Linked DNA regions of Sus scrofa. The protein of the gene in region 3 purifies or fractionates together with the protein of the main gene of each other region. This does not show direct contact. Links are inferred from orthologs where the notes say so. Each region holds a gene or a part of one and is shown on either strand. Other genes may lie near its edges.

Region 1 (4,044 bases), on a different chromosome or scaffold from region 3:
GGAGGGGAGATGGCCAGGGTTGGTGAGTGCTGACAGTGTAAGAGGTGAGGAGCTGTCTGTGACCCTGGGAATAGAGGAGCTAGCTTTTTGAGAAAGTGTGAAAAGAGCTGACAGCGCACGTGTACTGATGTGTGAAAGGCGGAAGTCAGAGACCAAAAAAGTTTGAGATGTTTGGGTTGGAAGATTCAGGGAAGTGTGATGACATCCACCTGATGAGAGATGTAGGAAGAGGAAGGAGGATGGGGTGTTGTAGGGCCAGGAGAGCGGTGGCTTATTACCAGGTACACTGCGTCTGTGTTGGTGGCTTTATGTCCCTCTCTCTCTGTGTTGCCTTTCTTCTAAGTGTTACTTTGCTTAATATTCTCTAAGTATTGATTCTCCTGTTGGATTCAGAGGCTTTAGCCCAGGAAAGGTTCTGGGATGGATTAGTCTGCCATGCACAAGGCCTGTGAGTTGGTCGCATTTAACACTTAGTGCCCAGTGCATGCCAAGTACTGTTCTAGGTACTGGGACACAGCAGAGAACAAAACAAACAAATAAGAAAGCCCCACTCCTGTGGGACTGATACCATCATGGCTGGAGAGAGACCATGAGCGTTTATGTGCTGTGGTAGATGTGTATGTCATGCGTTTGCCATCCTGCTGTAAGGGTCGGTGAGGTTCCCAGGGTGAACAGGACCTCCCAGGGCAGGACAGGGAAGAGAAGGGAGGGATGGGAGAGGTGGACACTAAGTGGATCATATGTCAAAATGCCTTTGCCTTGTTCTAGTATTTGCCAGAAATGTGATCGTGTGAGTAACAGAAGTGCCCAAACGTTATAAAGATTCGCTTTGTTTTCTAGGTATTAAACCGCCTGACTTTTGCATCTACTCTTTCTCACCTTCGTCGTTTAAACTCTCCCATTGGTAGAGACGGCAAACTAGCGAAACCAAGGCAGTTGCACAATACATTGTGGGGAATGGTGTGTCCTGCTGAGACCCCAGAGGTAATGTGCTCGCATTTGTATCCCAGACAGAAAGTCTGAGAGGGGTTATGTTAGGATATAATTACTTTAGAAGTAAATTTTAATTTAATTACGTAGTATATTTTAGAACCAAAATATTATTTATATTTTTGTTCTTAGGAAGTAAGAGTACATCCTGAAGGACAAATATTTATGGAGAGAATTTTGATAGGCATGTTAAATCACTGTGACTAATATGTACTTTACTTATCCCAAGGGCCACGCTGTAGGACTTGTGAAGAATTTAGCCCTGATGGCTTATATTTCAGTTGGATCTCAACCTTCTCCAATTCTAGAGTTTTTAGAAGAATGGAGTATGGAAAATTTAGAAGAAATTTCTCCTGCAGCTATTGCTGAGTGCGTATAGATACAATTCTTTAGACACTGTTGTTAGCCTTTGGTTATTGCTTAGAGTTATTAAGTGCAAAATGCCTTTGGTTTTGCATTTTAGTGCAACCAAGATCTTTGTTAATGGCTGCTGGGTCGGAATACATAAAGATCCTGAACAACTGATGAACACTCTAAGGAAACTGCGGCGCCAGATGGACATCATCGTGTCTGAAGTAAGAGTCTTGAATTAACCAAGAGGGTGTGATCTGTGGGATTTCCAAACAAGGCACAAGACTAGTGAAAGTTATCTTTGCATTGGTATCTTTCTTGAATGAATTTCTTTTCCTTTTAATTGTTAAGTTTATTGTCAAAAGTCTAGGTGATATTTAGAGCTAAATTTAAGTGTAAGGTATTGCTTGCTTTAATGCCTTAGATATGCATCTAAAATTTTGATGGGTAATATAAGTTATTAAATTACACTTTAGAATTCAAATTACATTTTAAAGTAAAAAATTCTTTTGAGAATCTTTTTGTAAAGCTGACAGTATTACTTTTTTGATTATTATTTTTTAATTACTCAATGAATTTATTACATTTATAGTTGTACAGTGATCATCACAATCCAGTTTTATAGTATTTCCATCCCACACCCCCAGCGCATCCTCCTACCCCACAAACTGTCTCCTTTGGAAACCACAATTTTTTTAAAGTCTGTGAGTCAGTATCTGTTCTGCAAAGAAGTTCATTGTGACAGTAATGCTTTTAAAAGGCATGATCAGCTCTGATTTCTCCTTTGTCTGACTCCAAAGATTCATTCATGCAATGCGGTTGACTTTTATCAGATTCTCTTAGATTTTGGTGGGTGCTGACATCCTCTGGATTAGGGTGGATTTTTTTTTTTTTCTTTTTTTCTTTTTATGGCCATACCTGCAGCACATGGAAGTGCCCATGCCGGGGGAATCCAAGCTGCAGCTGTGGCCTACACCTCAGCCATGTCAACATGGTATTTGAACTGCATCTGTGATCGACACCACAGTTTATGGTAACATTGTATCCTTAACACACTGGCGAGACCAGGGATTGAACCTCCATCCTCAGAGAGACAACATCAAGTCCTTAACTTGCTGAGCCACAATGGGCATTCTTGGATTTTTTTCTTTTTTTTAATCATTAAAATGTAGCGTGAGCTTTATTTTTCCCCCAGATAGGGCTTTTGCTCTTAGGGCACTGCCTTGAGGGATAGGGCTCAGGCTTTTGATTCTCCTAAAGCTACACCTTGGGGTCTGTCTAGGTGAAAGTGGGTCAGGAGAGGAAACTGTAGCACACTTAGGCTGGCCTCCTGTCTACATGGCAAAGTAGAGAACTGAGGTTCGGCTGCTCCAGGCCTTCCTCAAGTGGGCAGACCCGGGGTTTCTCGTGGGTGTATTCGTAGCTTGAAGTCAGCAACAGGATGCCTCACTTGGGGGTGGGCAGGGCTGCGAGAAACCCTAAGAATCAACAGCGGCTGTGTTTTTGTAACTGAGAACCTGGTTCATGCCATGTGTATCTGCTGAGAGCTGCCTCTAGCTTTTCTGTGTTCTCTAGAGTAAATTTAAATTTTTTATGTTGTTTTAGGGCTCTTTCCCTTAATGGGCCCCTCTCTCAGCCTGGAATGCCTTTGCTCTCTGTCACCCATACCTCCTGAAAAATGGGCAAGAGAAAAGGGTGCCGATTACCGTTTTTAGGTAAATGTCACTAATTCTGCTGAGTTCTAGTAGTAACTCATCACCTTCAGGGTGTTTTACCTGGCCCCTCAGTTTGATTTTGATTAGAGATCGATAGACATTTTCTTTGAAGGGCTAAAGATTCAATGTTTTAGGCTTTGTTTACCTTACAGTGTCTGTTGTACATTCAGCTCTGCTGTTGAGAAAAGTAGCCATAGACAATTCATAAACCAGTAAAACTTTATTTACAAAAATAGATAGCAGGCGAAGGCGGATTTGGCCTGTAGCCTATTTGCTGAGCTCTTGATTTAGATATTTGTGACCATATGTAGCATAATTTCCTTAAAAAGTAGAATGCTTGAGTTCCCTTTGTGGCTCAGCAGGTTACAAACCCAGCTAGTATACTTGAGGATGCAGGTTCGATCCCATGCCTTGCTCAGTGGGTTAGGGATCTGGCTTTGCTGTGAGCTGCGGTGTAGGTCACAGATGGAGTTTGAATGTGGCTGTGGCTGTGGTGTAGGCCAGCACCTGCAGCTCTGATTTGACCCTTAGTCTGGGAGCTTCCTTATGCTGCAGGTTAGCCCTAAAAAAGAAAAAAGAATGCTTATCTCAGGTAGTAACTATTGATTTATTTGCCTCTCTCATTCACCACGGTGTTAACTTCTCAGCAGCATGGAAAGTGTCTTTATAGGGCTTTTTGTATTTTCAGTTCTGAACACGGTGCTTGACGTGTAGTGTCTGACAAGGAGTGAGTGTTGAACCTATAAATGGACCCTGTGTCTTTCAATTAGGTTCTTTAATCTTCCACTGGAAATGGAGTTGGAAACCTCTAAGTGGGAGCATTGTGTATATTTTTCAGGAGTCTCCTACTTTTTCTTTACCTTCCTATTTTCTGATAACCAGAGGTCACCATGTTACCCATTTCTGACTTTCGCCTCAGTTTGGACCTATCAGGCTCCTGTCATCAGTCCTTCAAGAAGACCTATTTTCTTTGGTATTCTTTTTTTTT
Region 2 (4,044 bases), on a different chromosome or scaffold from region 3:
AATAGCTGAACCTGCAGCATATGGAAATTCCTGGGCCAGGGATTGAATCCAAGCCACAGTTGAGACCTGCATTGCAGCTGCAGCAACACTGGATCCTTTAACCCACTGCACAGGGCTGGGGATCAAACCAGCACCTCTGAAGTGACATGAGCTGCTGTAGCAGTCGGATTCCTTTTTTCTTCTCTGAAGGCCACACCTGCAGCATATGGAAGTTCCCAGGCTTGGGGTCAAACTGGAGCTACAACTGCCAACCCATGCCACAGCTCACAAAAACACCGGATCCTTAACCCATGAGGTGAGGTCAGGGATTGAATCTGCATCCTCATGGATACTAGTAGGATTTGTATCTGCTTAGCCACCACTGAAACTCCCTATAATCGGATTCTTAACCCACTATGCCACAGCAGGAACTCCTACATACTTTGTTTTGCTTATGTGAACAAGATTTCTTTTTTCATGCATTACAGCTACTTAATAGTGATTGTAAAAAATGGTAGTTACACTCAGGTCACAGTAGTTTAGTTACACTCTGGTTGCAGCAGTCATCGTAGTAGTCAAAAATCAACAGATTTCTGTAATTTCTTCTGGAGTTCATTTTCTGAAACACATTAGTTTCATTTTCTGAAACACACATTCAGTCTGCTGTAACAAAATGCCTGAGACTGGGTGGCTTACAAACAACAGAAATTTAATGTTGGCCCTTCTGGAGGCCCCAAGTTTGAGGTCGAGGGGCTGGCGGCTTGGATGCTGGTGAGAGCCCTCCTCCTGCCGTGCCGTGTCCTCACATGGTGAGGGTGGGGTGCTCTGTGGGGTCGCTTTCAGGGCCCCCTCCCATTCCCCAGGGCCCCACCCCCTGACCTAAGTGCCTCCCCAGGCCCAACTTCCTGACGTACCTGCGCAGGTTAGCGCCTCACAGGTGAATTCAGAGGGGATACAGACAGTGAGGCCACAGCACATTAGAATCCACAAACTGCTCAGCCACTTTCCTTGTCCATGAATGCTCTGCTCCTCCTCCACTCATCCGGGACTGCCTGCAGAGGGCAGCGTGTGCCCCTGTGCACACTAGCGCCCATTCCTCTCTCCATCCCATCAGCCTTGGCAGAGACGAAGATCACACCTGATCACACGCTGCCGTGGTGCACTCTGGGCTGGGCTGATAGTCCCTTCTCACACTCGGCCTGTCAACCAGTTACCACCCCACCTGTTATAACTTTGGGAACCACAACCATAAGGAAGAAAACAACTCAGGCAGAGTCATGGTTTGGTTTTTTTTTTTTTTTCCCCTTAAAATCCCTACAATCAAGAATAGCCAAAGAGCCTGTACTTCAGAGTAAGTCATCAAATTAGCCTGTTGCCACTGCCCACTTACAAACCCACCAGAATGAGTTACACAGTCAACACAGAAGGAAGGTAGAAAGACTACACAGCTGTCACCTCCCTTCACACAAAGCCTCACAAATACTAATCCACAAGACAGCTACTTACAGCAGTGTATCAGAACTGTACTAAAACGGCCAGCTCTGATGGAAACATTTTTGAGTCCTTCATTTCCTTGTTCACTAGCAGACCTCGAGCCCCACGCCAGGCACAAAAGACACAATGGCAACAAGGCAGTGAGCTCACACACCAGAGCAGGGGCCATGTCAGAACATCACAGGCTCTGGAGCTATGCTGTCTCTGCTGCCGACACTCAGCTCTGTCCTTGTGAGGTGACAAGAGACAACAGGAAACAAACGAGATGTGTTACAAACCAGGTCTGGCCCACAGGCTATAGTTTGCCAACACCTGCTCTGGCGGGTCAGGACCACATGGTAAATGCAACGACAGTGAGAGCAAAGGCTGCTATGGTAACACGATCTAAGAAAATCAACAAAGGCTTCTGGGAAGGGCAACAATCTGGTCCACCACTCATCTTCTCTAATTCATCCATTAGAGTCGGTTTTGATAATGTGCCACCAATTTAAACAACTTAAAAGCTCATTCTGAAAAGGCAAAACATATTTATCTATGAAAGAACTGCCTCATTTCAGAGTTCTCTTCTAATTGTTTATAAGAAATTAGACCAGAAGCACATCTGAAAGCTTACCTTGAGTGACTGTTTTGAGAACAATTAAAGTTGATGGAAATCTCAACGGTAAACTGGAGCTCTTAAAGAAAGCAGCTGTCTTTGGTTTATTCTCCACAGAATGTTCTGAAGAATTACCCTGAATTCCTTTAGTCACCACTCCTTTGAATATATCTTCACCTAATCTCCTCAATGTTGATGTCATAGTCGAATGCTGTTAAAAATATGCACTATCTTAGTACACTTATTCATGTTCAGAAAATATATTTCTTAAATACCATAATCAAATATATAAACTAAAAATAAATCAATCTTTTGCTAAGTAAAAAAAATTAAATGTAGTTGAAAATATGCAAGACTGGAAAGATTAATTTTATAATCAACTTAAAAACTGAGAGTTCCTATTGTGGCTCAGTGGTTTAAGAACCCAACCTGTATTCATGAGGATGCCAGTTCCATCTCTGACCTCACTCAGTGGGTTAAGGATCCGTAATTGCCGCAGATGAGGCTCAGATCTGGCGTGGCTGTGGCTGTGGTATAGGCCAGCAACTATAGCAATGGCTCCCATTCAACCCCTAGCCTGGGAATCTCCATATGCCATGGGTGCAGCCTTAAAAATAAAAAGAAAAAAAGGTGTATGACTACATCTTTCTCTAAAGAAATGGTTAGAATTAAGGAATTAAAAACGGTAATTTCCTAAGAAGGAAATTAGAGAAGAACTAAGGCAAGATTCAATTTCAAAGCATTTAAGAGCGGATCATGGCAGACCTCGGGCACAGAGCAGTCAGAAGACCCAGGGGGCCCCTGCCCCCCACACGCCCCGCTGCTGATACAGGGCCCTCGGGGTGCAGCTTGTACAGTGGTCATCCAGGGCCTTGCTGCTCTACGGCTCAGAAAGACTAAATGTCACGATGATTTTGATAAATTTTAATGATTTCAGAAAAACAAAATACTGCTTTAGAATCACGGATAAATTCTCATGTTGAATAAACTAAAACAAGAAAGTGAGCAAAACAGAAATGATGGCATATGATGCCTCTAGAGCAACACAGGCTCCTGCTGTGTTCCACACATCCCTAAGAAGCCAACCCAAGAAAACCGTGCACACAGCTACCCATGAGGGCACTTAAGCCAGGCTCAGACGTGACTTATACCCCTTATCAGAACCAGTTCTCCGACCCACACCCCTGAGTTATGTGACGGTTGCCCCATCTTATGACTTTTAACTAACTGGTATCCAAACCAGCACTGCTCAGGCAGCATGGATAATGACCATCAGCTTCGGAACCTCTGCAGAAAATTAGAGACAGACCTACTGAGATCTTAGGGTCTCAAAGGCCAAAGGACGTGGTGGTGAGCAGCACAAGCAGTGCAGTCTCATTTAAACGTCTTGCCCATGAGGTTCTGATACCGTTTGGAAAAGATAATACATTTGTGCTTTCAAGCCTCAGTGTAAAAAGATGACAGAAGGAAGACAAGTGGAAGAAACAAAGAACAATTTATCAAACAGAAAGCTGGCACTGATATCAATAATCACTCTAAATTGCAATAGGCAAAACAAACCAACTTAGAGAGAATGTCAGAGTAAATCAAAATATGAGACCCCTACACCCTGTCCACAAAAACCCCACTTAAACGTAAAGACACACACAGCTTAACAGTGCATGTATAGACAGACTGACCACGCTGACAGTAACCCCAAGAAAGTGGGCAGAGCCAACCGCATTTCAGCAAAACAGGCCTCAGGGCAGGGAAAGTCCCCAGGGAAGGAAGGCAGCACAGGTGACAAAGGGTCAGTTTTCCAAAAGACACACCAGCACCTGGGGTACAGCGAGCACGTTTCAGATACAGCGCCAAAGGCACAACCTGCGAGAAACACTTAGCCGGACTTCACTGAAATTAAAAGCCCCTGCTCTGCACAGACACTGTCAAGGGGAGATGACCAGCCACAGACCAGCGGAGATAGGTGCACAGGGCAC
Region 3 (3,323 bases):
AGATAACGGCTCAGATCCAGTGTTGCTGTGGCTGTGGTGTAGGCCTCAGCTGCAGCTCCAATTTGACCCCTAGCCTGGGAACTTCCCTATGCCAGAGCAGACAGGAAAAAAAAATAATGTGTATGTGAAATATACCTGAATATGAAAGTTAAATGTGCTTAATTTATAAGATGACTCTTCATTATATAACATACGATATATATATCTCCTGTTAACTTTCCAGAGTTTTTTTTTTTTTTTGCTTTTTAGGGCTGCATGTGGAAGTTCCCAGCTATGGGTCTAATCAGAGCTGTAGCCATTGGCCTATACCACAGCAATGTCAGATCTGAGCTGCAACTGCAACCTACACCACAACTCACAACACCACCAGATGCTTAACCCACTGAATGAAGCCAGGGATCAAACCCGCAACTTCATAGTTCCTAGTTAGATTCCTTTCCACTGAGCCACAACAGGAACTCCCAGAGTATTTTTTAAAACCCAAATTCTAGGAAACATTGAGACCCAAGGGTTTTGGATGAGTGGTTATAAAGATGTACAGATAACCAGGTAAGCATGTACACAACAATTTGATTTGAGATACAGTGGTAAAATTCCAAACAAGTGTATTTATTTACAAAAAATACAGTAATTACAAACAGTACAAATTGAGGCAAGTTCTCCTGTGACAAAAGCTAACAGCCTTCACTTTCAAATGAGTTTTCTGTTACTCTGAGCTATGTTGCATTTTCAGCGATCTACTGCCTTTTGTTTACGCTTTTCATAATAACAAGAGGTCTATTAGTGATGTACATGGGTCATGTCCCTCAAATCTTATTTCCAGAACTACTATGTACAACTCCAACTAAGATGGCACTGAACTGACTAATCTTTTTATTCCAACGGTAAATTTTGTTTTTCTCTATTCCCCTAGTGGTTCAGAAACGAAACCATGATTTTTGGCTTCAAAAAGTCCACAATAATTTTTAACGATGGCACACTTTCACTACAGTATCACCTGGCTTTTAAAGGTTTGCTGCTGTTTAAGAAGCCGATTTCTATAATATTCAATTCTGTATGCTTTTTTTGTCACATTTTCTTTAATCAGAGTCACTGCTACTGCTTGAGGAGTCTGTTGACATGACCTCTACGTCATCTTCATTTTCTTTATTGTGCCCTGGAGGCTCCAACAAAAAGTCATTACTGTGATTTGGTGGTAACATATTCATTGCCATATCATTTGACTGCCACGGATACTGGGGGGCAAGAACATCTGAAGAAAAGAAAGCCCATGTGAGAACATTTCAACTCAATTTACTTCTTAGTTACTCTTTCCTTCATGCAAATAAAATGAAGTAAATTTTTAAGGCTGAAGTCTAAATACACATTTGACCAAATTAATGAAAGATCAAATATATCAAGGAAAAATGTGATGTTTTAGTAACCACAATCTGTTTATTTTTTTTTAAATCACACTTTACTATAGCCACTATTCATAGTCAACTGCCATTAATTTTCCTTTTACAAGACATTCACAATTTCCAAATATTTCATATGTCTGTATATATTTAAGCACATATAATAGGTCATATATACTACTCTCCATATATTCCCTCGTGATATAAACAGCTAATATATGTACTATACTAAAAAAGGGGCCCTGTATCTATTATTACTGCATTTGAAAAATACAGTTCTTGGAGTTCCCGTCATGGCCCAGAGAAAACGAATCTGACTAGTATCCATGAGGATACAGGTTCAATCCCTGGCCTCACTCAGTGGGTTAAGGATTCAGTGTTGCTGTGAGCTGTGGTGTAGGTCGCAGACTCAGCTCAGATCTGGTACGGCTGTGGTATAGGCCAGCAGCTACAGCTCAGATTCAACCCCTAGCCTGGGAACCTCCATATGCTGCTAAATGCTCCAAATGCAGCCCTAAAAACAGACCAAAAAAATACAGTTCTCTTTACCATCCAGTAGTTAGTGTATTGTTACTAGTCAGTAATTCTTTAAATTCTCCTTGTTCATATTGCTAGTGTGGTTTCTGCCTCCTGCCTGGATTGTGAGTGGCTTATGTCATATGATACGGTATAGTCACAATGAAAAATGTGATTCCAAGGGAAACTAATGCCCAATGAGTTCTCAGTTTACACCTTGAATAATTAACAAAAATGGTGCTTATAAAAAGCATTTTTAGTAACAGAGGGACAGCCTTACAATGAAATGTCATGCATTATCTAGAGCATTTATAACAACGTTAAAAATACAGGGGGGAGTTCCCGTCATGGCACAGTGGAAACGAATCCAACTAGGAACCATGAGGTTGCTTGTTCGTTCCCTGGCCTTGCTCAGCAGGTTAAGGATCTGGCATTGCCATAAGCTGTGGTGTAGGTCACAGACACAGCTCAGATCTGTGCGTGTGGACCAGCCGCTAGACCCCTGGGAAACTCCATATGCCACAGGTGTGGCCCTAAAAGAAATAACAAACAAAAAACGGGAATAAACGAAATATGTAAAATACTAAAAGTAATTGCTCAAAAAAGCAATTTTTTCATGGTTTTAAAAAAAACTTTAAAAATATTCTGCCAGGTCAAAAATAAAACAAGTCGCCAAAAAAAAAAAGAAAGATAGGGAACGTAAAATATAACAACAGTACAAACCTGTATGTGAAGCCTGAGGAAGGGTGAAGCTCAGTATGAGTCTCACAAAAATGACATTCTATTTAGTTACAAAAAAGTCCATAAAAAGCTTTGTTATTCACTTTGTTAATTTGAGGGTTATTCATAAGAGTGTTCACTTGGTATTCTTTAAACTGAACATACATCTTACTCTGTTTATAAAGCATGTTTCATTTTAAAAAGCTAAGTTTAGGGCTTAGTTACTGAGAAGTCTAATGCCGGAGGAAAATGACACATTAATAAATGAGAAAAAAATTCAGTTTCTTCTAACTTCATAATAACCTCCATTTTGAACAATCTTTAAGCTGTTAGAAAGTAGAGAGCAGTTGGAGAACCTAGCTACTAAAATGAGCTGGGTCCAGACCCTCAAACTTGTTCAACAGCCGTATATCTGTCGTCATCATGACGTCTACAAAAACAAGTGTGAAAGCCTTATTCTGGTAACTTACCTGGCAGCCTGCCTGCTGCAAGTGCGTCTCCTGGTAAATGACCGTTCACTCCATTAGTGGAAGGATTATTCATTTGACCCAGTAATCCACTTCTCATCTCCAAATCAGTAGGGTATGGTCTCCGTGGGTCCCCTAAAAAATAGTGTTTTTAAGTCAATCACATACAAAAAATATGCACAAACACCTTCTCTAAAATATTAATTCTCCTTGGTTCACTATA
Region 4 (4,044 bases), on a different chromosome or scaffold from region 3:
ATTTTGATGTTTCATTGAAGGGGAAGCTTGCTAGCCGATAACCTTGTCTTCCTTGATAAAGGTGAACCATTTTGAAAAATGTGACATCTTGCATATCAGTCAAGTGGCATATTAATTTATTAAGTAAGTGCTTCCTCATTGTTTCACACCATTGTTGGAGAAAAGGAAAGGTTGCTTAGGGAAGGTGAACCACAAGTAGGGAACACCCACAATCAGCTGACATGAGCAAAAACAAACCAAAGCCTCACTGCCATGCCCTGAAATATGGCACTTAAGGAGAATCATCTTAAAAGAGCTGAATGAATCACTTGCAGAAGTAACCGAGCCCAAGAGATGACTTGTAAGTCACTGCGAGGTTAAAGGAGAGCACTTCCCAAATCTTGTCAAAAGATAGGGATGCACCTCCCCCAAGGCAGGTAAACGGGGAAAGGTAGTTAGCAAAATGCACAAAGTATCATGGAGCTGACATTCTGGTATCAGGCAAATAAAAATAAGTGGAACAAGCGGCATGAACCAGGGGACAGACAATGACTGGTCCTACTTTTAGAGCATGAGGGAGTGGGATGGCGCACCTAGGGAAGTGACATCTGAGCAGAGACCTGAGGAAGTGAAGGAGCTGCCCTGGGAGGGGAGAAAAGATTCTAAGACTCTGCAGTGAGAATTTGCTTGGCAAGTTCATGGAACAGCAACATGGCCACTGTGAAAAGAGTAGAATGAGCAGACCCATGACTGCCAGGAAACCAGGTAGAGGTTGGAGCTGGTGCCAAATTGTGGAGGGGCTTATAGGCTCAGACTGGGAATTATTATTCTAGGAATAGTAAGAAACACTGCAGCATTTGGAGCACTGGAAAAATTTGTGATTTACACTTAAAAACAATCATTCTGCCTACTATATAGAGAATAGATTTCACATATCCAGAAGGTAGCAGATGACAAGAGATCCCCAAGAAGTTAAGTATCTTGTTCGTGTTCATCCAGAACTGTTCAAGGAAAAGACACTGTGTCACTGAAATCATAGTCCCACATAGACTCCATTAGGCTCTACAGCTGGATAAAACATGCCAGATGACCAATCTATCCACTCTGCTCCATTCTATACTTTCAAATTCCAATTTGATCACTCAGTTTCCTTGTGGTACACAGAATACCTGTGCTCTAAATCGTAATCAGAACTGTGGATGGTGCAAAGGCAAAATTCAAAAAGTCTTTGAAAATGAACCAGAATGGCTTCTGATTCATAAATGAGTATCTTGTACACTTGACCAGCAACAGTCTGGCTCTAGCAGTAAAATTAAGATGAGTTTCTGAACTTACAGAGCTCACTCTGAGACCCTTCCTGATAAGTGGAAGCCCAACGGAGGACCTGGCAAGAGGTCCTTTTGTCTTACTGCCAGGCCTCCTTCAATATTGATTCCTCTAGGACCTTTCCCAGGAGGCAGGGGCAGGAGAGGAGCAACAACTTTGTAACAAAGTTATGTGCAATATGCAGAATGTTACTTGTATACAGACATTTATCCAACACATAATTAATATTATACTGCTATTCATCTCATGGTGATAAGAACACAGGTAGGAGAACAGGGTGGGAATTGTTTTCCTGCATCTAAGCAAAACACATTGCACTCTTATGAGTTTAATGTCAGTTTGTTTGAAAGGAAAACAAATGAATGCCATTAGAACCATACTTGCCTGGCTTAGTATTCTACTGCACTTTACCTGGTTAACTTGATTCTGCAGCGATGTTAGGAGGCCTTCTCGTTGTTCATCCTGTCCCTTCAGGCAGGTAAGGACCAGTGAGAGGAATGGTTGTTGACTCAAAAGAGACATACTACGAAGGAAGTAATAACAGGAGATCTAGTTAGAAAGAATGGATTACTTTCTGTGCAACACTTATTTCTTGCCCTCGCGTTATCGGCTCTTATTTATTTTACTATTAGAAAAGGGAGGGGAGTAGTAAATAGCCAAGACTACTTGAAAAGTTAAATCATATCTCTAACTAATAAGATTAAAAAGCCACTGTAATGCTTCTAGATTTAATATGTTTTCTTGCCCTGAAAGGCATTTCCAAATTAGCATAAATTCATACCACATATGAGTGCGTATGGGGGGAGGGGGAACAAGAAGAAGAGACTTTGCAGTTTCTATCAGTAAACTGAATTAAAAGATACACATCAGGAGGAATATCACTTCATACACAGAAAAATGAAAAAATTTTAAATTTCTGTCACTTAGTATTACTATTTTAGGGTCCAGGAAATAGGCCTTATATGATTTCTGTGCTTATTTATTTATTTATTTATTTATAGCACATTTCTCAAGACCAAATAGCTGGGTATTGGTAGAGCTAAAATTAGCATCTACTCCTCCAAGGAGGACTCCAAACCAGTATGCTTGCTAGTGATCCCCAGTACTCTGCCACATCCCACAGGCTTAACGTGTAAAGGAGTTTAAAGACATTTGGGGGGAAAAACTCCATTTTAAATTGGCATTTTAGCATTTTTTTCTTCCATGATCAGGAACAACTGACAAATCATGCTGATAAACTAATTTTGCTACACTGGAAAAGAAAATTCCTTAAAATGAGATGGAGGTCATAATGTTTCAATCTGCTTCATCTTACACCAGCATAGCCAAGAGAGATTAGCTTGGGAAGAGCCATCTTTAAACTCTGCAATTCCATCTGCTCTCCCTGCAGGAAGTGAGGCGAAGTACATGCCATCGCCCATTAGCAGATAAACTTTGAGAATTAAAACTGTGTCACTTCACTGGTTAACAAATATGGGCAAAGATGACAGAACAACCAGATACCAAACAACATACACACAAAGCTATGTCAAATAACAAAATGTACTTTAGTTAAGAGCACAGACTCAGAGGCCAGACCACCTGGGTTTCAATCCCAACTTTACACCTCTTTAGCTATGTGTCCTTGAGAAATTTACTTAACCTTTCAGTGCCTCAGTTTCTTTACCTATAAAAAGGATATAATGAGAGCATCTACCACAATACGATTGCTGTGAGATTTTAAAAGTTCACATATGCATATAATGAGTTTGGTACATAGGTTGACATTTTATAAGGGATCATTAAATGGCAACTACTGAAATACTATTAATTAGGTGACAAGAAATCTGTATGATCGGAATTTTTGTTTTTTAACATTAGAAATTTCTTCTCACTCCTGGTGTGCTAAATTTAACATGCTTTCACATTAGAGCATATTTTTGTTCTTTCTCAGTAACATGGTCAGTTTTCCAAAATAATTATATGAAACATTTTCTAGGGCATAAAATTTTAAAAAAAATTTTTGACTTGGAGGCTTATAAGTTAATGTGTGTGTAGTCTAGAACAAGAGCCCTAAATGTTAAAAATATTAGTAACTATTTCAGGGTCCAGCATGATAGAATTATAAATAATTGCATGAATTTTAAACCTAAGTACCTAAATAATAAGAAAAAAAAAAAAAAAAACAACCTGTTGAATACAGGATGAAGTGGATATCCAAAGCTGATTCAGTAGGTCTGAAGTGGGGCTAAAAAGCCTTTAACAGCACAGCAGTGATTAGGGTACAGAGGCAGAAGGGAGAGCTAGTGTACTGAGTATTATAATGCGAAATCTTTTAGGAAACAGAGCTTTGCCTAATAGAATATTTTCAATTTCATATAAAGATGAAATTTCAGTAGACTCTGGGTACAACAAGGATGTATATCTGTAGGATACTGGATTCTCTCAACTGTTCTTTAAACACTCACATAGAAACACCTATAGCAGCCATACCTTTTCTGTTTTTGTCTGTCTCTCTCCTTTTTGGAAGAAGAACCCAAGTGCTGTCCCTTCTCCAGCTCCTCCCCAGCAGCTTTCAACACTCTTCCCTGCACAGAAGTTGGCAGCCTGGCAATTAGGGGGGCCACCAGCCATACACCCCTGCGTTCAGAGGAACTAAAATCAGAAACAGGTGTTATACCCAAGGAGGCAAACTTCTGCTCTGCTCTCACCATTATAACCAAAACTCCAAAGCAAGACTTTTAGGCACAAGATACACCG
Region 5 (3,824 bases), about 15 Mb from region 3:
CCACCTCGGGCTGCCATCACGTCGGAAGGAAACCACGTCTGTGTCAGGCTCGGCAGGACAGCGCACACGTGAAGTGCTCTGACCACAGGCTCCAGCACCGGAGTGCTGGCCGCGGGCCTGAGCTCCCGCGATGACGACGATGACGAAAGGGGCTGTGATCATCCAGCAAACGCCTGCCAGGCCGGCTCGCGCCCTCTCCTCTAACCCGACCACAGCCTCACCTACCACCTACCACCAACCGCATCCTACCAACGCGGGAGCCGAGGGCCCCAGCCTCCCACTCAAGGCTGCCCACAGGCCTAACCGCGTCCCTAGCTGCCGTGGTTTCAGACGACAGACGGCACTTCCTGGGCACCTCCTGGACGCTGGGCGCTGAGGCCCACCCGCCCCCACGTGGCTTCCCGCGGCTCGTGCTCCGGAGGAGACGCCAAAGCCAGGCCCTGTCTAGGACCTGACCGAGGCCACCGGGTTAACAGGGGCGCCGTTCGGTCCGACCGTTCCACGCCTGGCTAAGCCTCCTCGACAGAACCGCCTGGCGCTTTGCAGGCCAGCAACCCCCCAGGCCAACGTCTCCCGAGCAGCAGAGGCTGGCGCTGTGCTCCTGCCGCCGCGGCCCCGGGGCCACCACCCCCATGCAGGGCTGCGGGCGGCCGTACCTGATAGTCTGAGGTCATGATGAGTCCGCCTGAGGTAGTGGTAGGAGGAACAACCCGCACTTTCTTCAACGGGGGGCCCTGCGTGTGGCTGCTGTCCTGGTTCCCGGGGTGGCCAGTCCCATTAGTGTGGTTATTGCCCTGCTGCTGCTGCTGGTTCTTCTCAATTTGGTGAAACGGAAAGAGAGAGAGCAACTCAGAGGGGAGCAAACCGCGGCCGCGGCCGCAGAAGGCAGGCGGCACCCCAGCAGAAACGCACGAAGCCGCCCCGCACCCTGACACTTACTTTGTCTCCTTTGTCCTCGGGCTCTTCCTCCGTTAAAAACTCTCTTTTAGGGTACGGGATCTGACAACCGGCAAAAACGCTGACCCAGGAAAGAGAAGAGACAACAACGATTTCCGGCGCGCTGATCAGCGTCTCAAACGCGCTTTCACCGTTCAGACAGCCTCCGCCTCCCTGCCGGTGCAGCCGCGAGGCAGTGCGTGTCTTCTCCCAACCAGTGACTGAACAAAAGCACCGGCACCCCCAGGCACCATCCAAAGGGCCTCGGCTCTCCTTTATGTCGGCACTGCTCCTTCAGCACCACAACCAAGGCAGAGATCGCAGCTGGAATGTCATGACTCAACAAAACTGCATTCTACCCTCCAGACTGCATCCAAAATGCACGAAATGGGAGATCCCACCGTGGCTCGGTGGTTAACCACCCCGACTAGGATCCATGAGGACACGGGTTCAATCCCCGGCCTCGCTCAGTGGGTTAAGGATCTGGCGTTGCTGTGAGCTGTGGTGTAGGTTGCAGATGTGGCTCGGATCCCATGTTGCTGTGGCTGTGGTGCAGGCTGGCAGCTACAGCTCCGACTGGACCCCTAGCCTGGGAACTTCCGTATGCTGCAGGTGCGGCCCTAGAAAAGGCAAAAAGACGGAAAAAAAAAAAAAAAAAAAGAAGGAATGTATGGGGACCACACACTTCTTTGGGGTGGGGCTTGCAACTGGGACACAGAACTAAGTGCAAGCAGTGCGCCGGCTCAGAGCCCCAGGGAGTGCCAGTGCGTGGGAGCAGCCCGCCCTCGACTACCGCCGCCACCGGCCGCGGGCAGCAAGCAGGGCAGCAGCGTCTCTCCGCTGTAAAAGCCTGACGGCTCTCAGTCACCAGCTCGTTTTCTGCTTGTCATAAGGATTTCTTTGAGTCCCCGAACAAGAGCAGCAGCAACCTGGCATTGACAGCTAAAAAAAAGCACGCACCAAGAGCTAGCTCCCTGGCGGCACAGTGGGCTGAGGATGCAGTGCCCGCGCTGCTGTGGCATGGGTTTGAGCCTGGGCCCAGGAATTTTCATATGCCACAGAAGTGGCTTTAAAAAAGAAAAAAAAAAAAAGCACGCACCAAAAAATTCTATTGTGCTGGTGAGTTAATAAACTGATCACTTACTCTGATGTAGGAAGTGGGTCTTCTAAGAAATAGGGATCCTGCATAGCCTGTTCTGAGGTAATTCGCTTTATTGGGTCCATGGTAAGCAATTTCTGAAGCTGAAACCATAAATCATAAAAACATCACTGCATTACTTCTCAAAGTTTTACCTTTTGGCACATTTGTGGGAGGTACACGGTTTTTGATCAATAACACCACAGTTCAGAGGGTTTCATTCCCCCCAGTTAAAAACTAAAAACCTTTCAATTTCATGTAGTCATTCACACGAGTCATTTTAATAATCATCAGCTCACCCGGTTCTCCTATAAGAAGTAACTAAACATACGTCTTCTTACTCTCAACCAAGACCTTTTTCCTACACCATCTGAACTGCCACGTCCAATTTAGAACAGGACCAAAATGCCTGTGTTTTCTACTAAGGGGAAAACATTATACCCCAAAGAATAAACTAGCTACATGTGGCTATTTAGAGTTAAAACCAAATTAATTAAAACCAAGTTAAATTTAAAAAGTCAATTTTTCAGAGTTCCCATGTGGCGCAGTGGAAACAAACCCAACTAGTAGCCATAAGGACACAGGTTCAATCCCTGGCCTTGCTCAGTGGGTGAAGGATCCGGCGTTGCCGTGAGCTGTGGTGTAGGTCGCAGACGCAGCTCGGATCCCGAGATGATGTGGCTGTGGTGGAGGCCGGCGGCTACAGCTCTTATTCAACCCCTAGCCTGGGAACTTCCATAAGCCGCAGTTGTGGCCCTAGAAAAAAATTTTTTTCTTAATTAAAAAAAAAAAAAAAAAGTCAATTTCTCAGTCATATCAGGTGTATTTCCAGAGCTCAGCGGCTACCCTCCCAACAGCACGGCTCTCAGACAGCCATCTCTGGCACTGCCGCCCGGGGCTATGTAAACACGGCACCCGGTACAGAACCTGTGCAGCAAGGCCAGGTGCTATCGGCGGGGACTCTGCAGAGACGCTGCTTGGCCTCAAATCCTGACCTGACATTTATGAGTCGGGTGACTGTGAACAAATTACTTAAGCCCTCTGTAACCCCATTTGCCAAATGGAGCTTAGAAACAGTACCTTTTATCATGTTTCTTTTCAGAATGACGAAAAGCAATTACAGTGGTGCCAGGCGTGGGGAACGCGCTCTCTAGGTGTTGGTATTATTACTGTTGTTGTAATGAGATACCGAAAGGTGAAACTAATGTCAAAATTCAGCACTTTTTCGTTGAAATATGAGGGACTGAGGATTCTAGGAACGAGAGCCTTTAACGTGTGACTTAAGAGGCCCTCTAACAGGTGCGCCCTCAGCCCACCACCTCTGGCCTAACACGCAGCACTTTCAGACTTGAAGCACATCGGAGGCGTCCCCGGAGCACTTCCTAGTGACTCCGGAGCTGCTGAGCAGCACATCTGGGCAGGAGCCAAGCACCTGCACTTGCAGCGTTGCCCAGGTGACTGCGGTGCTGCTGGGCTAGGACCACGCTATGGAAACCAAGAAACTAGGAGACATGTGAGACCATGAGAGATGACACAATTAGAAAACAGAAGGAGGTGGAATATTTTAAAATGCAGATGAAATGCTGGGATGGTGAGACTTTAATTTAAATGAGCTGATATTTCCGTGGAAGCACAATTTTATTTTGAGATTGAAAGGAAAAACACAGATTTGCTATTTAATGTACTCAAGAGGTTTAAAGCAATTGTATTAGAGCTTTCAGACGAGACCACCCAAGACCTGTCACCCTGG
Region 6 (4,540 bases), on a different chromosome or scaffold from region 3:
TGAGTGAATTAAAAATTAGGGGTAAAAAAAAATAAGAAGCCAGGTGTAAGAATTTTGCCCCCAATGTATGCCACAGGTACAATGGCCTGAACTGGGACCTAAAGTTGAGTCAGTCTTTTTCCAGCAGAAAACACAAAAAGGAATGACGTATCCACAAGAACATACCAAGTACGGAGGTCAAGGAAAGGCATTCCGAGCAGAGAAAACAGCCTGGACAAGAGCATGAAGCCACTGGAAGGGCCTATCGGGCCTAGAAGATGAAAGGACAGAGGATGAAGCTGGAAAGCTTGATGGAACCAGATCAGAAAGACCCTCTATGCTAAGTTAAAGAGTTTGGGTTTTTTTTTCCCGGAAGCAAGGGAACCAACAGAGATATCTTCTACCTTTCCAGGGCACCCTGAATTCCTGGTCCAAAAGATGCCTCAACTTTCTGGGTAGGAAACACTGATTTCCTTCTAATTCAAAAAGTTTAAGTAAGGGAGGGAAAAACACATCCAACACCGTGTGGTCCAACTTATACGCGTCTGGCTGTACACGACTGTGGTCCAGAGCCTTTAGCCTCACTGGAATCCACTCAAGTAAGTAAGCTAGCATCTTCCCTTTAAAACATTTTAATCATCCAAAGCTTCCTTATAATTGGGCTTTTTAAAAAGCACTGTCACCTTTTTTTTTGTCTTTTTGCCTTTTCTAGGGCCACTCCCGCGGCATATGGAAGTTCCCAGGATAGGGGTCCAATCGGAGCTGTATCTGCTGGCCTACACAAGAGCCATAGCAACGCAGGATCTGAGCCACATCTGCAACCTACACCACAGCTCACAGCAATGCTGGATCCTTAACCCACTGAGCAAGGCCAGGGATCGAACCCTCAACCTCATGGTTCCTAGTCGGATTCGTTAACCACTGCGCCACGACAGGAATTCCATTAGGAACTGTAAACTTATCTTAAATATGTAACAAAAGATGTTAGAATAGGAAGCTCAGTTTTGCTTAGACCACAACACAAGTCAAGGTCTGGTGAAAGGCGCTGAGAGAAGCACATTAAAAAAATAAATAAAAATAAAAAGAACTGTCTCCCCATTTGTCCTAGTTACACATATAGTCTGAACACTAACACCTAACAGGTGATTTACCAGACCAGCTGCTCTAGAAAGCTTCAAGTAATCTGCGCGCACAAAGGTGCTTCCACTTCCACTCCCTTCTAAGAGCGTGGATTTATTCACAAACATCTACTGAGTCCCTGCTCTGGGGATAAAGGAGTGAAGAAAATGCCTTAATTCTTTAGTTTCTGACCTCTGGACAGACGGTCCAATCACAAACTGTGATCATGGTATGAGGAAAAGCACATGTTGCTATGTGAAGCCATAGCAGGAGGACATAATTCATATGTAAACAAAATTACATAAAAATTTATACACAAAATTCTTCTAAAATGTGACATTTGGGAGTTCCTGTTGTGGCTCAGCGGGTTAAGAACCTGACGTTGTCTCTGTGAGGTTGCAGGTTCGACCCCTGGCCTTGCTCAGTGAGTTAAGGATCCCCAGCAATGGGATCACAGATGCAGCCTGGATCCCATGTTGCCATGGCTGCAGGCATAGGCCTCAGCTGCAGCTCGGATTCCACCCCTAGCTCTGGGAACTTCCATATGTCACAGGTGCAGCCATAGAAAGAAAAGAAGTGACACTTAAAATGAGACCTAAAGGATGTTCAAAAGCTTGCCAACTGAAGCAAGGAGGAGGTATTCCAGGCAGAAGGGAAAGCTTGTGTGAAGACTGGAAGACTCTGAGGCTGTAAAAAATTTAACGTGTTCCACAAGCTGAAAGGCTAGTATGGTTGAAACACTGAGCAAGGGGGAGAGAATGAGATGGGGCAAGATGGGGAGGCTAGCACTGGATGATGAAGGGCTCTGAAAGCTGCGGTATTGAGCCTACATTTTCTCATAAAGGTAGCCAGAGGATTCTAAGCAGACTGGCATCATCAAATGTGGCTATTTTGGAGATCAATGACCCAGGATGGAGAACGAGCTGGGGGGGAAAAGAGATGGGGCTACTCCTATTTGTTCATCACTGCTACCCTAGCATCTAGCATAGTGCCTGCATAGAACTTGCACTCAGCAAATGTTTGTGGTATGAATGACTGCTAAAACAGAGCAGGCTAGGAGTTCCCATTGTGGCGCAGCAGAAACCAATCTGACTAGGAACCATGAGGTTGAGGGTTAGATCCCTGGCCCCTCTCATTGGGTTAAGGATCCCACGTGTTGAGGTGAGCTGTGGTGTAGGTGGCAGATCCGATCTGGTGTGGCTGTGGTGTAGGCCGGCAGCTGTAGCTTCGATTCAGCCCCTAGCCTGGGAATCTCCATATGCGGCGAGTGCGGCCCTAAAAAGAGGCAAGAAAAACAAAAACACCAGAGCAGGCTATTACAGTAACCAAGGCTTGGAGCTGAAGGAAAGTGTTCCGAATTGTTTGGTAAAGTCGAGTTGATAGGACTTAGTAAAGGATGAATGAAAGTAGGGGTTTGGAGAGGAGTGAAGGAGAGTCAGGTAAGATTCCCATGCATCTGGCTTGAGCCAGATGTATGGTTGGAAGGGATGGTTGAATGAGATGGATCGGGCCTGAAGAAGTGGAGAGAGAGGGTTCGCAGCCGACTACCGGATTCTCTCCCAACTCCCACCGCACGCTCATCTGAGGAACACTGGGTATAAAGGCCGAATTGAGTTCCCTGAAGATGAGAAGGACGTCGCGCTCTCGTCCCCCCACCATCCCCACCACCACCCTGGCTCTGGCTCTACGCTGGCCGCTACCTCCACCCGCGCGGTGTGGAGAAAGTTAGGAAAAGCTGGGTGATGGGGCTGGTTGTCTTCACTACGTAAACTCCTTGAACTTATCTGAGCCGCAGTTTCCTCCTAGGAGGGTTGCGAGCGTCAGAGCGAAAAGCTCGAGGCCCAAGCCCGGGTAAAACCGCTCCCAGAGTCGGGAGGAATTCCCACATTTCTTTCGCCCTGGGACTGCTTTTCCTCGGGGCGCGGGCCTGTCAGGCTCTTCCTGCCCCGGGCCCATCCCCGACCCGAAGTCACAGCCTACCTGTCCACCCCGCAGCGGCAGCGCCTGCGGCTCAGGCTGAGGTCCGCAGGCAACTCCCCTCTCGCGTCAGGGCAGCCGGTACCCAGCCAGCCAGCTTGCCTCAGCCGCTGCCACGGCTACAAGACCTGTTTACGCCTAACGTCACTTCCGGGCACAGGAAGCACTTACACCCATCCAGCTGGCAGAGCATGCTGGGAGACAGAGGCCTGGGAAGAGGGATGGCTGCCTACAAGACCCAGAGGTCTTTGCGCCGGAAAGTCGGCCTGAAGTAGGTGTACGCTCGCTGCGGAATACTCTTGGGGGCTCCTCCCTCCGCCCTGATTGGGTGCTATGTCTGCCCGGCCTCACAGTCTCAGGCCCTGGCCGCCTGGGGGCGGAGTCCGGGGGTGGTGAATGTGAGTTTACCGCCCGAGATTGCTGGCGGGCAAGCGGTGGTCTAGGGGCGGCGCGGTGTCGACTTGCAACCCAGCTGAGAGGAGAAGCGCCACCAGGGAGGGTGAGAGCCGAGTCTGCCCATGCCCTAGGGGAAGGGATGGACGGGTCCTGGGCTGAGCCAAGAGAACCCTACCCGGTCCTGGGGAAAAGGCGTGGGACGGCGAAGGGAGGTGGAGATCTCAAATCCTTTGGGTGGGTGTTAGAGCCGGTCTCGGTTTCTCGGTGGTGAGGCGGGGTACGGGTTGAGGAAGACTCTACAGTGGCCACAGAGAGGTTGAGTCTCGCTAAATTTCCCCAAACCCTTTGGCTGAAGCATGAGATTTACACGCTTGGATTTACACCCTTGGATTTCTGCTAGATTCCCCCCTCTGTAGGGGATCGGCTCCTCCTCTCGCCATGCTCCGTGTGATGGGTTTCTCGGACCTTCTTTCCTTAGGACCCCACTTCTATCACCGCCTTGTTTGTTTGGCCTTTATTCGGCTTGGGTTCCCATTAGCTTCACCGAGCGTGACACGGATACGCCCCTAGCATCCCCAAATACCCACACACAAAGTCCGGAAGGAAGAGCACTGAGGCTCTCAGTGGAAACTTCATTCTCACTGGAATTACTTTCTGGGGCGTCACCTGCCACAGGATTCCAGGAACCCATTGGCCTGGGCGGAATCTGAGCGGGTGGAATCTGGGCTGATGTCATCCATGGGCTCAAAGCAATTGCTTTGTAGGAAAAAGAAGAGATTAGCTTGGATTTGTCTTCCTCTGTTGGCAGCCGCTGTTAAGGGGTGGATTTATTCCTTTGGGGTGGGCGGAGGAAGGTAAGGTGACCTCATACCATTCAGGTTTACTTACTGATTGGGCAATCCGCTGGTGGGGGCTCATCTCATCCCTACTGAACCAGCCACCAGAGGAATTCGGCATTTCATACAGCACCTGCTCTGGCGCTTCCTTGGACTCTCTTCACAGGGACCTACCTAAATCTTTTCAGGGACAATTTCAGTCTAACACACTGACATATTAAATACTTCAGAAT
Region 7 (4,769 bases), on a different chromosome or scaffold from region 3:
AGGCACTTTGATGTACTTCAGTAATACTTCAATCAAAGAAGAAAGCCCACCTGTCAGCCCACCCACCATCTATATCATGAAGAGAGAAATGAGCCTGCTGGTTCCCAAATGCTTCTAGCTAGTGACCAGCCTTGCTCACTCAAGCTGCTTGTAGGGTGGGTATCTTGGGGTCTTCACAGCCTGTGCCTGAGGCTACCAAAGTGGGAAGCCTGGATGGAGGCCCATGGCAGACACGAGGAGCAGGCCCTTGAGAGCTGAGCCAGGACTGTGTGGCAGGGGGAGGGGAGGGGCAGGAAGGGAGAACACACATTCTCCAGGGTTCCCTGACCCCTGTCCCTCTCCTGGATTCCCAAGGTAGGAAGGGACACAGATGGTGCCTGACGAGGTGGCACCAGCTGCCAGACCAGCCATGCCATGCCCAGCTGCCTCACAGCTGTTCCCTGTGTGTCCAGGCCTGGGAGGAGAGAAAGGACAGAGCCCTTTGGGGTCAGGCTGCACCTTACTTTTCAGCTCCATGACCCTGCAAATTAACCAACCACAAAAGGGCCACAACCCCACTCCTAGGGCAGATTGCAGGGCTCCTATTACAGTGAGAAGCTTATGACTTTGGGTAGGAAGCATATTCCAAGGAGGTGGCTCTGGGCCTGGGCTCCAGACTGTTGGTTTCCCTCAAGCCTCTTACCTAAGCTGCTATAGGTCCCAGACTGAGAATGCCACCCCATGCATCATAGGGTGCAGGTGCCCCTAAAAAGTCAGCTGAGGTCCTGAGAAGCATCCAGACCCTTAGGGAATGCCTACCAGACAGCATGCTAGGTGCAGGGGTTGGGTGATGAAGAAGACTTTGATGGCACCCTGCCCACCATACCACCTGCCTCTTCCTGACCTGTATTCTGGATCAGGGGAAAAGGTAGTACCAGGAGCACAAAAGGTCTCTGTGGGATGAGGACTTGGGGTACGAGCTGGGTTGGGCACCCCAACACACCAGATACATACCACTCCTCCCTATGCCCGCTGAGCATCTAGAGACTTCAGCCAAATGGTCAAAAGCAATGGAGAAAGGACAACTGCCTTGATAATGCTGCCTGTGTCCCCCAGGTCCAGAATCAGGACCACAGACTTTGGAGATAGGATAGTTTTTTTTTTTTTTGGTCTTTTTCTAGGGCCTCACCCACAGCATATGGAGGTTCCAAGGCTAGGGGTCTAATCGGAACTGTAGCCACCAGCCTACGCCAGAGCCATAGCAACGCCAGATCTGAGCGGCTGGATCCTTAACCCACTTGGCGAGGGCAGGGATTGAACCCGCAACCTTGTGATTCCTAGTCGGATCTGTTAACCACTGAGCCATAGCAGGAACTTCTGGATAGATCTTAAAAACCATTTCTATTCCAACTTCTTTACCTCAGAGTTGAGGAACCTGAGACCCTGAGGGGGAAAAGTCTTGCCATGAGTCAGAGTAAGCTGGAAACAAAGGCAACACCAAAATCCAGGCTCCCCTGATAAGATATCTACTAAGCACCCCCTCCCACTCTTACTTGCCCTTCCCACCCCCACTGTGACGTGTGTCCAGCAGAGATGCAAAAGGGCGGCCTGGGACAGGCACTGAGAAAACAAGTTCTCCTCTTAGCCCTTCCATCCCCAGACCTGCCTGCATTTGGGGGAAGGAGATAGTAGTTTCTAACTCATCAGGGGTAAGGTCGGATGACCCACCTCCTCCCCCATAGCTTCTTGGGGGCACTCTGGACCCTAACATGCCCTGAGAGGAGGCCTCAGGGTCATGACTACCCAGACTACCATGCCTCTGCCAGGCACCCACAGTTCCCAAACACTCTAGCTTGGAGACATCAGAACCACCAGAGCGTCTGTTGCTCTCAACCTGTTGGGGGTCCTGGACCTCTCCAAAGGGTGGCTGGAAGTTATGGGCACACAAAACAACACCCCACACTCATGCTTAATTGCGCCCATAGTCCCCCCTCCCTGAGTCCACCCGGTCTCCCAGCAAGATAGCTCCTTTTATAAAAAGAGAGGCCGGTCAAGGGCCAGGGCTTCCTTCCCCGGGCCAGATGCTGAGCCCCATCACCGGCAGCGTCCTCCCACATCAGAAGGAAGCATCCTCTCCAGGTCACTGCTTCTCACTCCCTCAGCAGGTCAAGGGGTTTCACCTGGACCTGACTCTGCTGGGAATAAGAGAAAAACCACGGCGACTACAGCCAGAAGGCAGGCCAGGAAGCCAGGTGAATCTCAGGAATCTAGGCACCCCTTGGCACTGCTCCCCACCCATTTCTGACCAGACTGGCCTAGGAGATGGCAAGGGGTCTGTGCTCAGGTTGGGGCAATGCCAAGCCCACCTTCCAAGCAGGCCTTACTGGAGCACAGGGGAAGCTGAATCTCGTTTCCAGTCATCAGGCCTGGGGACGCCTCAGGGGAAGATGCCCAGGCTCAAGTGGCCCTGAACACCAGGCCCTGCAAAGGGCCCCAGCCTTGGGAGCCAGGGGCAAGGAGTCCTAGGAGTAGCCACCCCGTCAAATGCTCCAGAGGAAACAGTATCCAGACCCCCCCTAGCCCATCTGCCCAGCTCTCTGCCCCTTGCCCTCCGCCACCCCAGCGGGCGTGCAGACCATGCGAGCAGCAGGTGCAAGACGCGGGGGTGGCACTGAGATGACACAAAACCTCACTCGCCCCCACCTCCTAAACCCCGACCGGCCTCGCCACAGCCCTCCTGCCACCCCAGGCTGGCGCTTCCGTTTGGATATGAGATGGAAGCGGGGGGTGCAGCCAGCTGCCCGCCTCCCTCTGACTGAGGGGTGGGAGGCGGCGCCGGGAATGTCCTTTCTCGCTTGTCCACGGACACGAGGAAACTGGGGCCCCCAGGACGGCCCTCCCGCCAAGGACGAGGCTCGGCAGCGGCCGGGGCGGGGGCCGAGGCCGGAGGCCGCAGCCCCCAGCCCCGCCCCGCCCTCCGGCCCCGCACGGCGCTCCCGCCAGGCCCCGGCGCCCGCCCGGCGGCGCCTCGGTGCGCGGTCCCGCCCCCGGCCCGGCCCCGCTTACCCGGGGCGCTGCAGTCCGCACACACCTCCGCTCGCGGCCCCTTCCGGGACATCCTCAGCGGCGACGCGGCCGCAGCCCTCTGGGCCAGCGTGGGGGGCGCGGGCGGCGGGCCCGGGCGGCGGCGGCCCCTGCTGCCCGGCCCGGCTCCGGCAAGGCCCCGGCTAGGCTCCGCGCGCCCGGCCAACCGTCCGCCCCCGGGGCTGGCCCGGAACCCGCCGTGCCCGCCCGCCCGCTCGCCCTCGGGCGCCCTCCGCCCCGCGCCGCCCCGCGCCGCCCCGCCGCCGCTCGCCGCTCGCTCTCTCCGCCCCCTGCGCGGCTCTCGGCCGCTCCTGCAGGAAGCGGCGCAGGCCCGGCCCACCGGGGGAGGGGCAGCCTGCACACCCGCCCCACCGCCGGGCCCTGCCGGCCGCGCCTCCCGGAGAAAGGAAGCCGGGAGCGCGGGCGGGAGGGGGTGGGGGCGTTTAAAGGGGCCGCGGCCGCCGCCGCCGCCGCCGGGCCCGCGCTGCAGCGTCGCCTGCGCCCTGCACTGGGCTCCGGCGCGCCCCTGTCCCTGAGGCTGTGCGAGCTAGCCCCACAGCCCCATCCCCTTCACTGAGACGGAAGCTGGCCCGGGGAGCTTGAGCCCAGGGACAGTGACCCCTGGGGATCAAAGAAGAGAGTAAGGAGCTGAAGGCCCAGGCCCCCCTCCTCATCCAGAGGCTGTGGTTCGGGGTAACGTTCCTGTCTCTGTTTGGGGTGAGTTGTGCGTCCTGGTCCGCTGTGTGTTCACATCTGTGTGTCCAGGTGTTTGTGTGGTCACACTCTTGTTGACTACGCACACCGCCAACAATATGGACGCCCAAGTGCCAGAGGTCATGCAGTGTATACCCCTGCCTCCGAGCTGAATAAACATCTATCCCTCCTCCCGGCTTCCATCCAGAAATGAAAGAGTGTGGACTGTTTTTGAAGACCTCCTGAGCAGTGACCACTGTGCCTGTGTACAGTAATACCCACTTGGCATCGGTCTTGCATACATCATTGGTGTTTCTGAGCCACGGGAAGTCTGCGTGTCCAGGGCACAAGCATATAACATACAGGGGCCTTTTTTGCGGTGGTTTTTCCTCCTGGACTTCACACAGAGACTCGTTGGAGGATGGGGGACAGGGAGAGGAGGCAGCAGGCCACACGTGGGTGCACCCCAGCACTGAGCATGCTCCCCCATACACGTGTGCCCCACGTGCACCCAACCCCCATCTTGCAGCAAGAAAGGCTAAAGCGCTGGGTTTGTGGAGAGAGGGCAGGGGTGCTAAGGCCCAGGCCCAATGGGTCCTGATGAAGTGGTGACACGATTAAAGGAGGGTTCCCCAGTGGCAGGCGGGGAGTCCTGCTTAGTAACAAGGGGTGGGGGTAGGAGGCGAGTCCTTGGGCAGGGGTGCAGGAGTTGGTTGATTTTAAACCAGCGGTGCCAGAGCAGCAGTGACTTGTGGGTGGGCAGGCTGCTTCCCTGGGGGAGACAAGTAATGCTCATGAGTCACACCACCCGAAATACATGCAAAGCTGCCTCCATCGCCTTTCTCTGCAGCCCAGATTGACAAGTTTGTTTGAAATCGCGATCCACGGGGTATATTTATAATCGCACCTTAAAAAAATCTCCTTGCAGTCTTCCCCTCCCCCCCCGTAGCCAGCCGTTCAGCTTGCAGGGCTTCTGGGAGCAAAGATACCTCGCGGTGGGGGGGGGGGGGCAC

The links.
Region 1: the proteins of MED4 (region 3) and POLR2B purify together in Homo sapiens (affinity purification with mass spectrometry; 3 studies listed by BioGRID and IntAct, with this or other methods). This does not show direct contact. The link is inferred for Sus scrofa from reciprocal best matches to the Homo sapiens genes MED4 and POLR2B.
Region 2: the proteins of MED4 (region 3) and CCDC138 purify together in Homo sapiens (affinity purification with mass spectrometry; 3 studies listed by BioGRID and IntAct, with this or other methods). This does not show direct contact. The link is inferred for Sus scrofa from reciprocal best matches to the Homo sapiens genes MED4 and CCDC138.
Region 4: the proteins of MED4 (region 3) and MED12L purify together in Homo sapiens (affinity purification with mass spectrometry; 3 studies listed by BioGRID and IntAct, with this or other methods). This does not show direct contact. The link is inferred for Sus scrofa from reciprocal best matches to the Homo sapiens genes MED4 and MED12L.
Region 5: the proteins of MED4 (region 3) and CDK8 purify together in Homo sapiens (affinity purification with mass spectrometry; 9 studies listed by BioGRID and IntAct, counting the BioPlex papers as one, with this or other methods). This does not show direct contact. The link is inferred for Sus scrofa from reciprocal best matches to the Homo sapiens genes MED4 and CDK8.
Region 6: the proteins of MED4 (region 3) and IFT20 purify together in Homo sapiens (affinity purification with mass spectrometry; 3 studies listed by BioGRID and IntAct, with this or other methods). This does not show direct contact. The link is inferred for Sus scrofa from reciprocal best matches to the Homo sapiens genes MED4 and IFT20.
Region 7: the proteins of MED4 (region 3) and GIT1 purify together in Homo sapiens (affinity purification with mass spectrometry; 3 studies listed by BioGRID and IntAct, with this or other methods). This does not show direct contact. The link is inferred for Sus scrofa from reciprocal best matches to the Homo sapiens genes MED4 and GIT1.

The regions. Positions count from the first base shown.
Region 1 is NC_010450.4:56,256,359-56,260,402, forward strand, and holds part of POLR2B (DNA-directed RNA polymerase II subunit RPB2), read left to right. Parts: intron 1-840; coding exon 841-984; intron 985-1,219; coding exon 1,220-1,359; intron 1,360-1,453; coding exon 1,454-1,565; intron 1,566-4,044. UniProt on the Homo sapiens protein: Catalytic core component of RNA polymerase II (Pol II), a DNA-dependent RNA polymerase which synthesizes mRNA precursors and many functional non-coding RNAs using the four ribonucleoside triphosphates as substrates.
Region 2 is NC_010445.4:47,501,320-47,505,363, reverse strand, and holds part of CCDC138 (coiled-coil domain-containing protein 138), read right to left. Parts: intron 2,280-4,044; coding exon 2,087-2,279; intron 1-2,086.
Region 3 is NC_010453.5:19,564,181-19,567,503, reverse strand, and holds the end of MED4 (mediator of RNA polymerase II transcription subunit 4), read right to left. Parts: intron 3,236-3,323; coding exon 3,104-3,235; intron 1,253-3,103; coding exon 1,080-1,252; 3' UTR 589-1,079; downstream 1-588. UniProt on the Homo sapiens protein: Component of the Mediator complex, a coactivator involved in the regulated transcription of nearly all RNA polymerase II-dependent genes.
Region 4 is NC_010455.5:91,564,920-91,568,963, reverse strand, and holds part of MED12L (mediator of RNA polymerase II transcription subunit 12-like protein), read right to left. Parts: intron 3,940-4,044; coding exon 3,778-3,939; intron 1,829-3,777; coding exon 1,717-1,828; intron 1-1,716. UniProt on the Homo sapiens protein: May be a component of the Mediator complex, a coactivator involved in the regulated transcription of nearly all RNA polymerase II-dependent genes.
Region 5 is NC_010453.5:4,155,150-4,158,973, reverse strand, and holds part of CDK8 (cyclin-dependent kinase 8), read right to left. Parts: intron 2,179-3,824; coding exon 2,081-2,178; intron 1,019-2,080; coding exon 940-1,018; intron 816-939; coding exon 657-815; intron 1-656.
Region 6 is NC_010454.4:44,613,455-44,617,994, forward strand, and holds the start of IFT20 (intraflagellar transport protein 20 homolog), read right to left. Parts: upstream 3,230-4,540; 5' UTR 3,079-3,229; intron 251-3,078; 5' UTR 166-250; intron 1-165. UniProt on the Homo sapiens protein: Part of intraflagellar transport (IFT) particles involved in ciliary process assembly. May play a role in the trafficking of ciliary membrane proteins from the Golgi complex to the cilium.
Region 7 is NC_010454.4:45,780,400-45,785,168, forward strand, and holds the start of GIT1 (ARF GTPase-activating protein GIT1), read right to left. Parts: upstream 3,219-4,769; 5' UTR 3,098-3,218; coding exon 3,046-3,097; intron 1-3,045. UniProt on the Homo sapiens protein: GTPase-activating protein for ADP ribosylation factor family members, including ARF1.